Arabidopsis thaliana: one gene and its partner. The protein of the gene in region 1 purifies or fractionates together with the protein of each later gene. This does not show direct contact. Each region holds a gene or a part of one and is shown on either strand. Other genes may lie near its edges.

Region 1 (3,435 bases):
GAGAAATATATAGAAATGATAATTAGAAAAAACAAAAACAAAAATAATTCAATTAATAACTTCCTCATAAGAGTTCGCTAAAACCGCGCTAAAATTTCTTGAAAGACAAAATTCAAATAAATCGTTTGTGCGCCAAATTCCGTTGGAAAACAAAGAATAAGAACGAAAAATGAGTTGGAAAATTTTTAAAATAGATTCAGGTTTCAAAATAAGTTTTTTTTGCTAGATCTCTGGATCTTGTTGCCTCTAGAATGTAATCTAACAAAAAGCTGCAAACACAAAAGAGTCTTGACAAGTAAAAGTGATTAAAAAAAAAAGAAATAGCCGAATAAACATCCTTGTTTACAGTACCCTATCTCTTATGAAATAGATTATAATATATGATTCTTTTCTACTCTCATAAGGAATCACTAGAAGATTATGTTTCCATGGGTAAACTGAGGACTTTTTTATCCGTAATCCTTGTGTTTTTGTATGCATAAATTAATCTAAAGCCAATATTCATAAACCATTAGATTCATTTGAAAGACAACAACAGAAATACATTCTTTTTTTTTTTTGGACAAAACAACAGAAATACATTCAACAACTAAAAAACATAACATTGAAAACATAAGCAGAACTCAAAAAGAAATTCAAGTTCTCACAACAGCGGTTACAAAACCCAATCCAAATATTAATTCCCACCGTTTCCTCCATTTGCCCCAGTCGCATCCTCCTCGGTCCAAGCTCCAGGCATCTGCGGGTGTGGCGCGTGTATTCCTAAACCGTAACAAACCGGAGTTCCTATCACCGTTCCCGGCGGCAGTTCTTCATTGTTAAGATCTGGCACAGCCACATGATCAGCAACATCGTCCACAGGATCAGCAGCGGCGACAACGGGCTCTCCCTCGTCCTTAGGGACATCATCACGCAAGAAATCAAAGATGACGGTTTGAGACACTACGGCATCAACATCAGATTTCCGTATCGTGAGTCGGTTGCTCTCTTGAGCATGGAGCCATGAACGCATCGTGAGGTCCATGACAAACATTTCACAAGCCTTAGATAAGAGATTTGGAGCCTCAGCAGCGATCATACTCACATCCGGATCAAACTTCATTATCCTCTTGATACGAGAGATGGGGAACTCGTGATTCTTGACATTCAAGTCACCTTCCATCCCCTTTGACCAGAAACTCTTTAGTTGCTCGTTATCTTTCGGTGGCTGTTGGTGGTTGTTGTTGTTGTTCTCCATTTTTTTTTTGTTTGAAGTGTTTGGGTTTGAGATATTTTTATGTGGAGGTTTGCATATATAAAGGAAAATTAAGCGTATATAAGATATGGTAGGATAAGATTAAGAAGTGATCTCTTTACATATATGAATCTCAACCTATTTAGTAGTTTGTTAAGAATATTTAATGTTATTAACTGTATGTGTGTGACTGACAGACTTGTGGTTGGTATTATAAGAAGAAAAAAGAAAGAGATTTGTTTTTACTTAAAGTGTATATTATATACCAAATAATAGTCTTATAAAAATGAAACAAAAAAAAAAATACCTTTTTCTCTATAAAATTGAAAGTTAAAATTTTGCTGTACAAAACTTAGTTTTGAATATCTTGTTAAAAATGATGTTTTCAAATGTTAAATGTGAAAGCATAATTTGCTCAAAATTTTAAGAGAATTTTAATAAGAATTTGCTCATGATGTTAAATTGAATTTTACTTAATTTACATTGGTTCAAATTAATGTATGAAACGATATATAACAATAATATATGAATGTACAAAGTACAAATCCTGTAGTCCCTCTAAAAGTTAAATTTTGGTTATTTCTCTAATTATTTGATTTGTTAACATGAGGAGGTAGACACTCAAGAGAGAATCTCACATTTTGATGTTTAACTGCAAAATAAAAGAGAGATCATTAATAAATATGTTAGTAAATTTTGTCAAACAAAATATTAAATTTAAATAAAAAGTGACCAGTTTGGAGTTGGATTGTTCCAAAAAGTGAACAGTTTGGAGTTAAACAAGAGTAGCCGTTTTATTTTGGCGCCTCCTTCTTCAAGATATTACTGCATTACTCCTCCATAACCACATTATCAGTTTCATCACTCCTCAGTAGCACCAAAACTCTTGTGTGGAGAAGAGGAAACACACCTTTCAATACTCAGTTTGATTATACTCGTAGCCTTTCGAACCAATGCACTTCAAAGCCTATTTGGCGAAATCTCAAGTCTTATCACATCTATAGACTTGAGATTTTCCCAAATAGGCTTTGAAGTGCATTGGTTCGAAAACATAAATGGTGGAAAGAGATAGATGGTTTTTGCACAAAGTTCGATAAATATCAATCTTGAAATTCAAAAACCAAAGATATCGTTTCCCCTTAAGATCAGATCTCGAAGTCTTAGATAAGGAATCCATAAAACTTGTTAAAAGAGTACTACTCCTAAACAAACAACTCATGCAGGAAGCTTTGCGCGGGTGTTGGAACTTGTTTTTGATGAAGTGGTTGTGGCCACTTTTCCGGTGAAGACGTTCATCGGAATGACCGGTTTTTCGGCACAATAGAATCATTGTTGCAAGCACTACGCGGACCGTGGTGGTGCATTGGAATGTCAAAAATGAAGTTATCATTTGAATGAGAAATGAAGGTCCAAAATAGCTGCCTTGGTATATAATATACAGTAAGTAAGAGGAGAAATCCAAACATACATGGGTTGGGTTTGAGATTTGAGAGTTGGGAAATGGGCTTACAACCAATAAAAAATATCTACCTTAATGATAGAGTTTTGTAACAACAACAAAAAATCAGTTATGACAATTAAGGTCAGAAAACGTTTTTGACATTGTTGTGAGAATCAAAATCTCATAAATTTTCGTTAAGGTGAGATCACCTCATGAATATATATACGTTGAGCTTGGGCTATGTAAGTCAAGTCATTGTCTTCTCCTTCTCTTCATAAGATCACAAACATCAAAATTCCTCTCTTCTCTCTTCTTCTTTTGTTTGGGTCTGAGAGTGTAACACAAGACTAGTATTCGTTCGGCTTTTGATTTTGAGTGTTGCCAATGAAAAGAGATAACAATTTTCTCATGCGACTCTAATCGTCATTAAACCCTCGCACTACGAGGAGATGTTTGAGTTATAAAGGAGAGATCATCAAAGCTCTCGACTCTGTTAAGCACCGTCAATCTCCGTTCCTCAATCATCTTTTTGGTATTGTTGAATTTCATTACCTGTTCTATATTAGTTGCTTTAAGTATTAGGTAGTGTCTATGTTAAAATATTCGTCGTACAAAATCTAGTGGTGGGAATTAACAAAAAAAAATAAAAAATCTAGTTGTGGGTTTTATTTTTCTATTTTTGTTCAACCATTATCTATCTTCTAAAATAGTTATGGTCTACTCTCAAAGAACAAGGTTGCGTATAATGTAAACATGGTTT
Region 2 (5,392 bases), on another chromosome or scaffold:
AAGAGAGAAATCGGCAATTGAGGAGAAAAACTAAGAATTGAGATCAGAAGACTCGTATTAGTGAAGTAGCTTGCAATCGAAGGATTAAAACCTAGTTTTCTAAAAAAATTCATGCGATTTTCTCTTATCTGTTTCTTCCACAGAGATCAACGAAGATCAGATTCGAATGCGTAATTTGAAGCAAAACAATGAGAAACAAAATCAAAGAGCGATAGAAAGAGAGAGGCTCAGGAGTCGGGTCGCAGCTTTTTCTATTAATAATCGTGTTTGTTTTCAGAGTGCTGATTTGTAAGATGCTTATTGGTTGACTTAATTAATCACATTCTATACGTTTTTATTATTTTAGTAATTTTTTTCTGCTTCGCTTTAATCGGAAACCTACACGCTCGAGTATGTGATTAGGATAAACTCGCTCCTCTTGTAAGACACGTGTCACTTTAGAAGGACATAATCGGTAATTTGATTTCACCGTTAACTTGAGGAAACTAAAAATCGAGTAGGTATGGGACTCGCTAGTCGTTACGTACGAATCGTGGTGGAGTAAACCACGTTAGCGTTTTCCGTTTTTTGTATAACGTATGCGTTTTGAGCAGTAATATGGGTTAATGTTCATATTCATAGACCCAAAAAAGCCCATGATAATGTCAAATGCAGGCCTAGTCTATCCTTTTTATTTTGTTTTTCTGATGAACCTTGAGAACAAATATAAAAGTATTGACACATGTATGATCTTTAGGTTCCCAACACTTGATTGATACTATAATTCAACTGTTTAAAAATAAGTTATAAGTATGAGACTAACTTATTAGATCTCTATAATACATTTGACTTAGCTTTTATGCTTGCTTAGGCGACCAAAAATAAATAACAATCACCAACTGTAAGAAGAATAATTTCGGAGGAAAACTATATGCCAAGTCAGCCTATTTTACCCATATGAAGACTGTCGGTGGTCGCCGGTGCCGACAGTTGACTTTGCGGTCCCGCCGGAGATCCAAATCCCAACATGTCCGCTGGTTGTTGTTGCACGGTCTGCATCTAATTTAAAACATGACACGTCAGATATTAAATAAATATATTTGTCTTTCTTCAAAACGATGCCGTCTGCAACTGACCTGATTTCCCGCCGGCGGCATCTGGGGAATCCCGCCCATGTACCTAGCGAGCTGCTCCGATAAGATTTGGTTCTGTGCTTGGAGCTGCAACTGTACCGGGTTTTGACATACTAAACCGGGATGGTTCTGCGGAGCGGACCGGTTCATAACCGGGAATTGAGACAATTGCATCTGACTTTGCATAGCCATCTGATTAATGTATGGAGATGATTGTACCCCGGGAAACATCATCGGACTTGCTGCTGCTGCTGCCGCCGCCGCCATTCCACTTCCCATCCACATCACTTGGAGTTGCATTTGAAGTGATTTTAAGTAATCAATTGCTTCATCCAATATCGAAGCTTTATCTGTCTACACAAAAAAAGAAGAAGACAAAACCATATTTAAACACACCAATCAATTACAGCTTAATTAACTCAGTTTTTTTGTGATGAAAAAACTTACTCTGCTGCAGTGAGGTATGAGTTCTTGAAGAGCTTTCATTCTTTCATTGATCCGATCTCTCCTCCTCTGTAATTAATAGACAAAGATCACATCAGAATTATTATTACTGAATGGTTGATCAACTAGTCAGAAATAGTATATGTATACCCTTTCTGAGAGATTATGAACTTCAGCTGCACGGCTTCTTCGAGTAGATCCTGACCGTTGGCTCGATTTGTTACCCATGGTTTGATCATCGGTTGAGGTCAAACCTATATCTGATTGAGACACAGATTCTTGATCAGCATCCATAACATGTTTTCTTTTACGGTCAATGGTTACACTTGTTCCACTAACGGTTTCTTTGTTGTTCCTTCCATAGCTGCAACCGGAGGAGCCACCTGACGAAGTGTCAAGTCTTTCTTCGACGTTCTTGCTTCTATCACTCATAGAAACCGGAAGTGTAGTGGCCTGATGAATATTTGTTGACTGGTTGCTGCCGCAATGACTCGGTCCGACTGTTATAACCGAGGATCTAAACTTAGGAGGAGCCATGGCTTGAGCCTCATGCTTAACTGTCTCTTCGATCGTTCGTGGCTTCTCAGGACCTCCGAGGTGATCGATCGAAGAGAAGAAATGAGAGGAGAACTCGGATTCGAAAGGGTCGATGACGTCATCCGGAGGGTATTGTATCCAGGAGACGGTTTCTTGATCATCTAGAGCAGCGTAGTTAGGCTTTTGTACTGTTTCTTGGTTGTCAAGAAAAATATTGTTGGGTTTTCTTAGGGTTTCTTGTTTGTGGGTTTGGACTTGGACTGACGGTTCTCTACGAGCTTGGCTTTGTAAAACCACTTGACCATCTCTCCACAATAGCTCCACTAATTCATCTTCTGGTCTGTCCCAACATATGAATGTTTACAAACATATTTTAAACAAACAATACTTAAATAGCTATGATTAAGATGTGAAATTGGTATATAATTATGAAATACTTGAATTGGAAAATTGATATATACCTGATTGATCTTTTATTAGTGGACATGTGAAAATTATCTTCAAAATTCCAATCAGCAAACACTTGTTCCATGTCAGATCTGTAAAGACACTTAAATAAAGAATATATTACTTTTTTGTAAGTGAATAAGAAATGATTTGATTCATAATTAGTATAATGATTAACAGGAGATTTGAGGAAAAAGGATGATGAAAGCAATCAACTTAGAAAAGATTATTCGAAATCCCAACAGTTTAATGATTAGAAAATAATTAAACCAAACAACCCTCTCCAACAATCTAGGAGGAAATGATTTAATAAAGCAACTAATTCTATATATAGTAAACTCTTACTAAGGGGAAGCTATAAAAGTAATTACCAGATTTAGAAGCCTCTGAATGGATGGAAGATTTAGCTATATCAGTTTTTTTTTATTGCTTCACACGTAACAAAAATCGAGCAAGGAGGGACAAAAGAAGAACAAAAGATTCTATCTCCAAAACCTTCTCGGTTTTATCTCTCTTCTAGATAGGGAATTGTTCTGAAACTGAGGGAGTAAAGTTGAAACAGAACAGTAACACAGAGAGAGAGAGAGAGAAAGAAGAAAGAGAGGCTAAGGTTCTTCTTGCCAGGTTCAGACAGAAAGGGACAAGAGCTAGAGGAGGGAAGCAGAGAGATTATTACGGTAAGTAAGCGAGTGAGCGAGGGGGAGATAATGATTCGGTGGGGGCAATAGTACTGAAACTGATCAGGATGACCGACACGTGGCGAATTGTCAGACAACTAGTTAAAGAGTTAGTGAGACCCACCAACTCGGTTGGATTTTGTCTGTGAAGTTGAGAGAGATCTATTGCTCGATTTCTAGAGGTGGGTTTCTGATCTGTACCTTATCTGCAACACTCTTTGAGTCTTGACCAATGATTAAGGGTGTTTTTGTCAAATCATAACACCCCTCTTATGCTTCTCTTTCAGCGAATAGTATCTCTAATAATGGTAAACAAAAAACAAATTGAAGTTCTCTATTTTCTACGATGCTTCGATGAGTTTATATCATCATCTACTATATGAATATATGAACCGTTTTATAATCATCTGAATTCAATTTCATGTCAGAGTCTCATTAAAACCCGAGCGGAAATAATCTTGAGAAGTCATCATTTTTTCCCCCGGCAAATTTCCACATCGCATTTATTTCACGTGTTGACTAGTTAAAGCTACCATCGTAAGTTTTTGTGTTATTATCATTCTCTAAACAACTGCAAGTTTATACATATAACTTTTAGTTGATTGTGAATTTGGAATTTATTAATTATACACAAAATTTTGGATATTAATAACAGTTTTGAACCTAAATATGCAATCACAAATTCACAATGTCGTAATAAACCGTGGACCGTTGTGACTTGTTTGTCATGGACCACAGACAAACAATGGTCCACCAAAATTATGATCACATTAATTTCCGATCCTTATCACAATAATTTAACAGTAGATCAGTTTCTAACCCTTATCACATCAATCTTATCGTTTAATGTGCATAACCCCTACCGATCTAATGATAAACAAACATATTATTAGTATGATAAATTCATGAATATATTACATTGCAACTTACAAGTAGACAGACAGACATATATAGTGGGTGCATTTGTGAAGAAAGCATCCACCGAAAGGAGACATTTCCCTTTAAAAGTCTTTGGCCCTCATTTGCTTTTTCCACGAAAGAGACGAGGTCGTAATAGCGTCCATTCAAGGCTATAGAAGGCCATGAGCCAAGTAACTCAGTTTTTGTTTCCAGCCATAGAAATAGTAATTTAGTGCAAAATATGGAATTTAAATATGAGTAGTTTAGTGAAAATTGCTGAATAATAACACTTTTTCTTCCGTATGCAAGTTTTTTTTTTTTTTGATAAATTATTTTGTATGCAAGTTGCTATTTGCTAGTTGGATGAATTAAGTTGATAGATAGATTCGTTCGTCGTGGACGATACATGTAAAACGTTGTTATCCCAATCAAGCAAAGAGGAACACGGTTACACAGATGCCAGCCATAAATCATAAAACCCCAAAACCCTTCGATTGCTATTTTATTTTTCTTATAATTTTTGTTTGCATTTGACTCAAATGATGTCGTTGTATTTGAATTTATAACTCATGTCGACATATAAGTCGTCGCCTAGTTGGATAATTAATTCCATCATCTTCTAAACCGATATATGAATTAATTCTATGCATATACATTAGATTTCGACGAAGGAACGAATCTATCAATCATCATTGATTAAGGAACCATATACATACATTAAATATTTATGAATATGCATATTCATAGGATGAAGATAACATCACATTAAATAGAATGACATTAGCAAATTGAATTTATCAGAAAAGGCCCAAAAGTTTTAAGTCATGTCATATAACAGATATTGTACTGTGTTGTGGAGATGCGTTATTGGGCCTAAGATACGGCCCAGTTTAGTCCGAAAAATACAAATTTATCAGAGAAAAGGGCCGAACAAAACGTCAAAACCCTAACTCTATAAGAGACCGTTCTGAAACATTCAGGCGGCGGTGGCGGCGATGGAAGTAGACGGATGGTGGTAGGAATGAAAGGCTAGAAGCGGCGGAGAAGTATGTGGATAAGAAATAACAAAAACTGAGGGGATCATGAAGTTCTTCGTTATATTATAGTTTTCAATCTGAATTTCAATTCCGCCGCTCGCCTTTTTCCTCTCCGCCTTTTCCGTCTCTCCGATCTGCTCCCGCCGCCGACCTTGTGATGATTATAGCTCTGAAGGTCCATACAAGGATATTCAAATCTCACTTCTTGTAGAATAGAAATTTCGAAAGTTATTATTGA

What was found.
Region 2: the proteins of NF-YC5 (region 1) and PIL6 purify together in Arabidopsis thaliana (affinity purification with western blotting, with the first as the bait; one study listed by BioGRID). This does not show direct contact.

The regions. Positions count from the first base shown.
Region 1 is NC_003076.8:20,559,934-20,563,368, forward strand, and holds NF-YC5 (nuclear factor Y, subunit C5), read right to left. Parts: upstream 1,296-3,435; 5' UTR 1,238-1,295; coding exon 677-1,237; 3' UTR 501-676; downstream 1-500. Other genes in the region: AT5G50500 (uncharacterized protein), read right to left, coding at 2,217-2,624. UniProt on the Arabidopsis thaliana protein: Stimulates the transcription of various genes by recognizing and binding to a CCAAT motif in promoters.
Region 2 is NC_003074.8:21,827,271-21,832,662, forward strand, and holds PIL6 (phytochrome interacting factor 3-like 6), read right to left. Parts: upstream 3,568-5,392; 5' UTR 2,912-3,567; exon of another isoform or gene 2,633-2,911; 5' UTR 2,626-2,632; coding exon 2,555-2,625; intron 2,434-2,554; coding exon 1,707-2,433; intron 1,626-1,706; coding exon 1,560-1,625; intron 1,467-1,559; coding exon 1,116-1,466; intron 1,039-1,115; coding exon 919-1,038; 3' UTR 635-918; downstream 1-634. Other genes in the region: AT3G59070 (Cytochrome b561/ferric reductase transmembrane with DOMON related domain-containing protein), read right to left, coding at 5,094-5,288. UniProt on the Arabidopsis thaliana protein: Transcription factor acting negatively in the phytochrome B signaling pathway to promote the shade-avoidance response. Regulates PHYB abundance at the post-transcriptional level, possibly via the ubiquitin-proteasome pathway.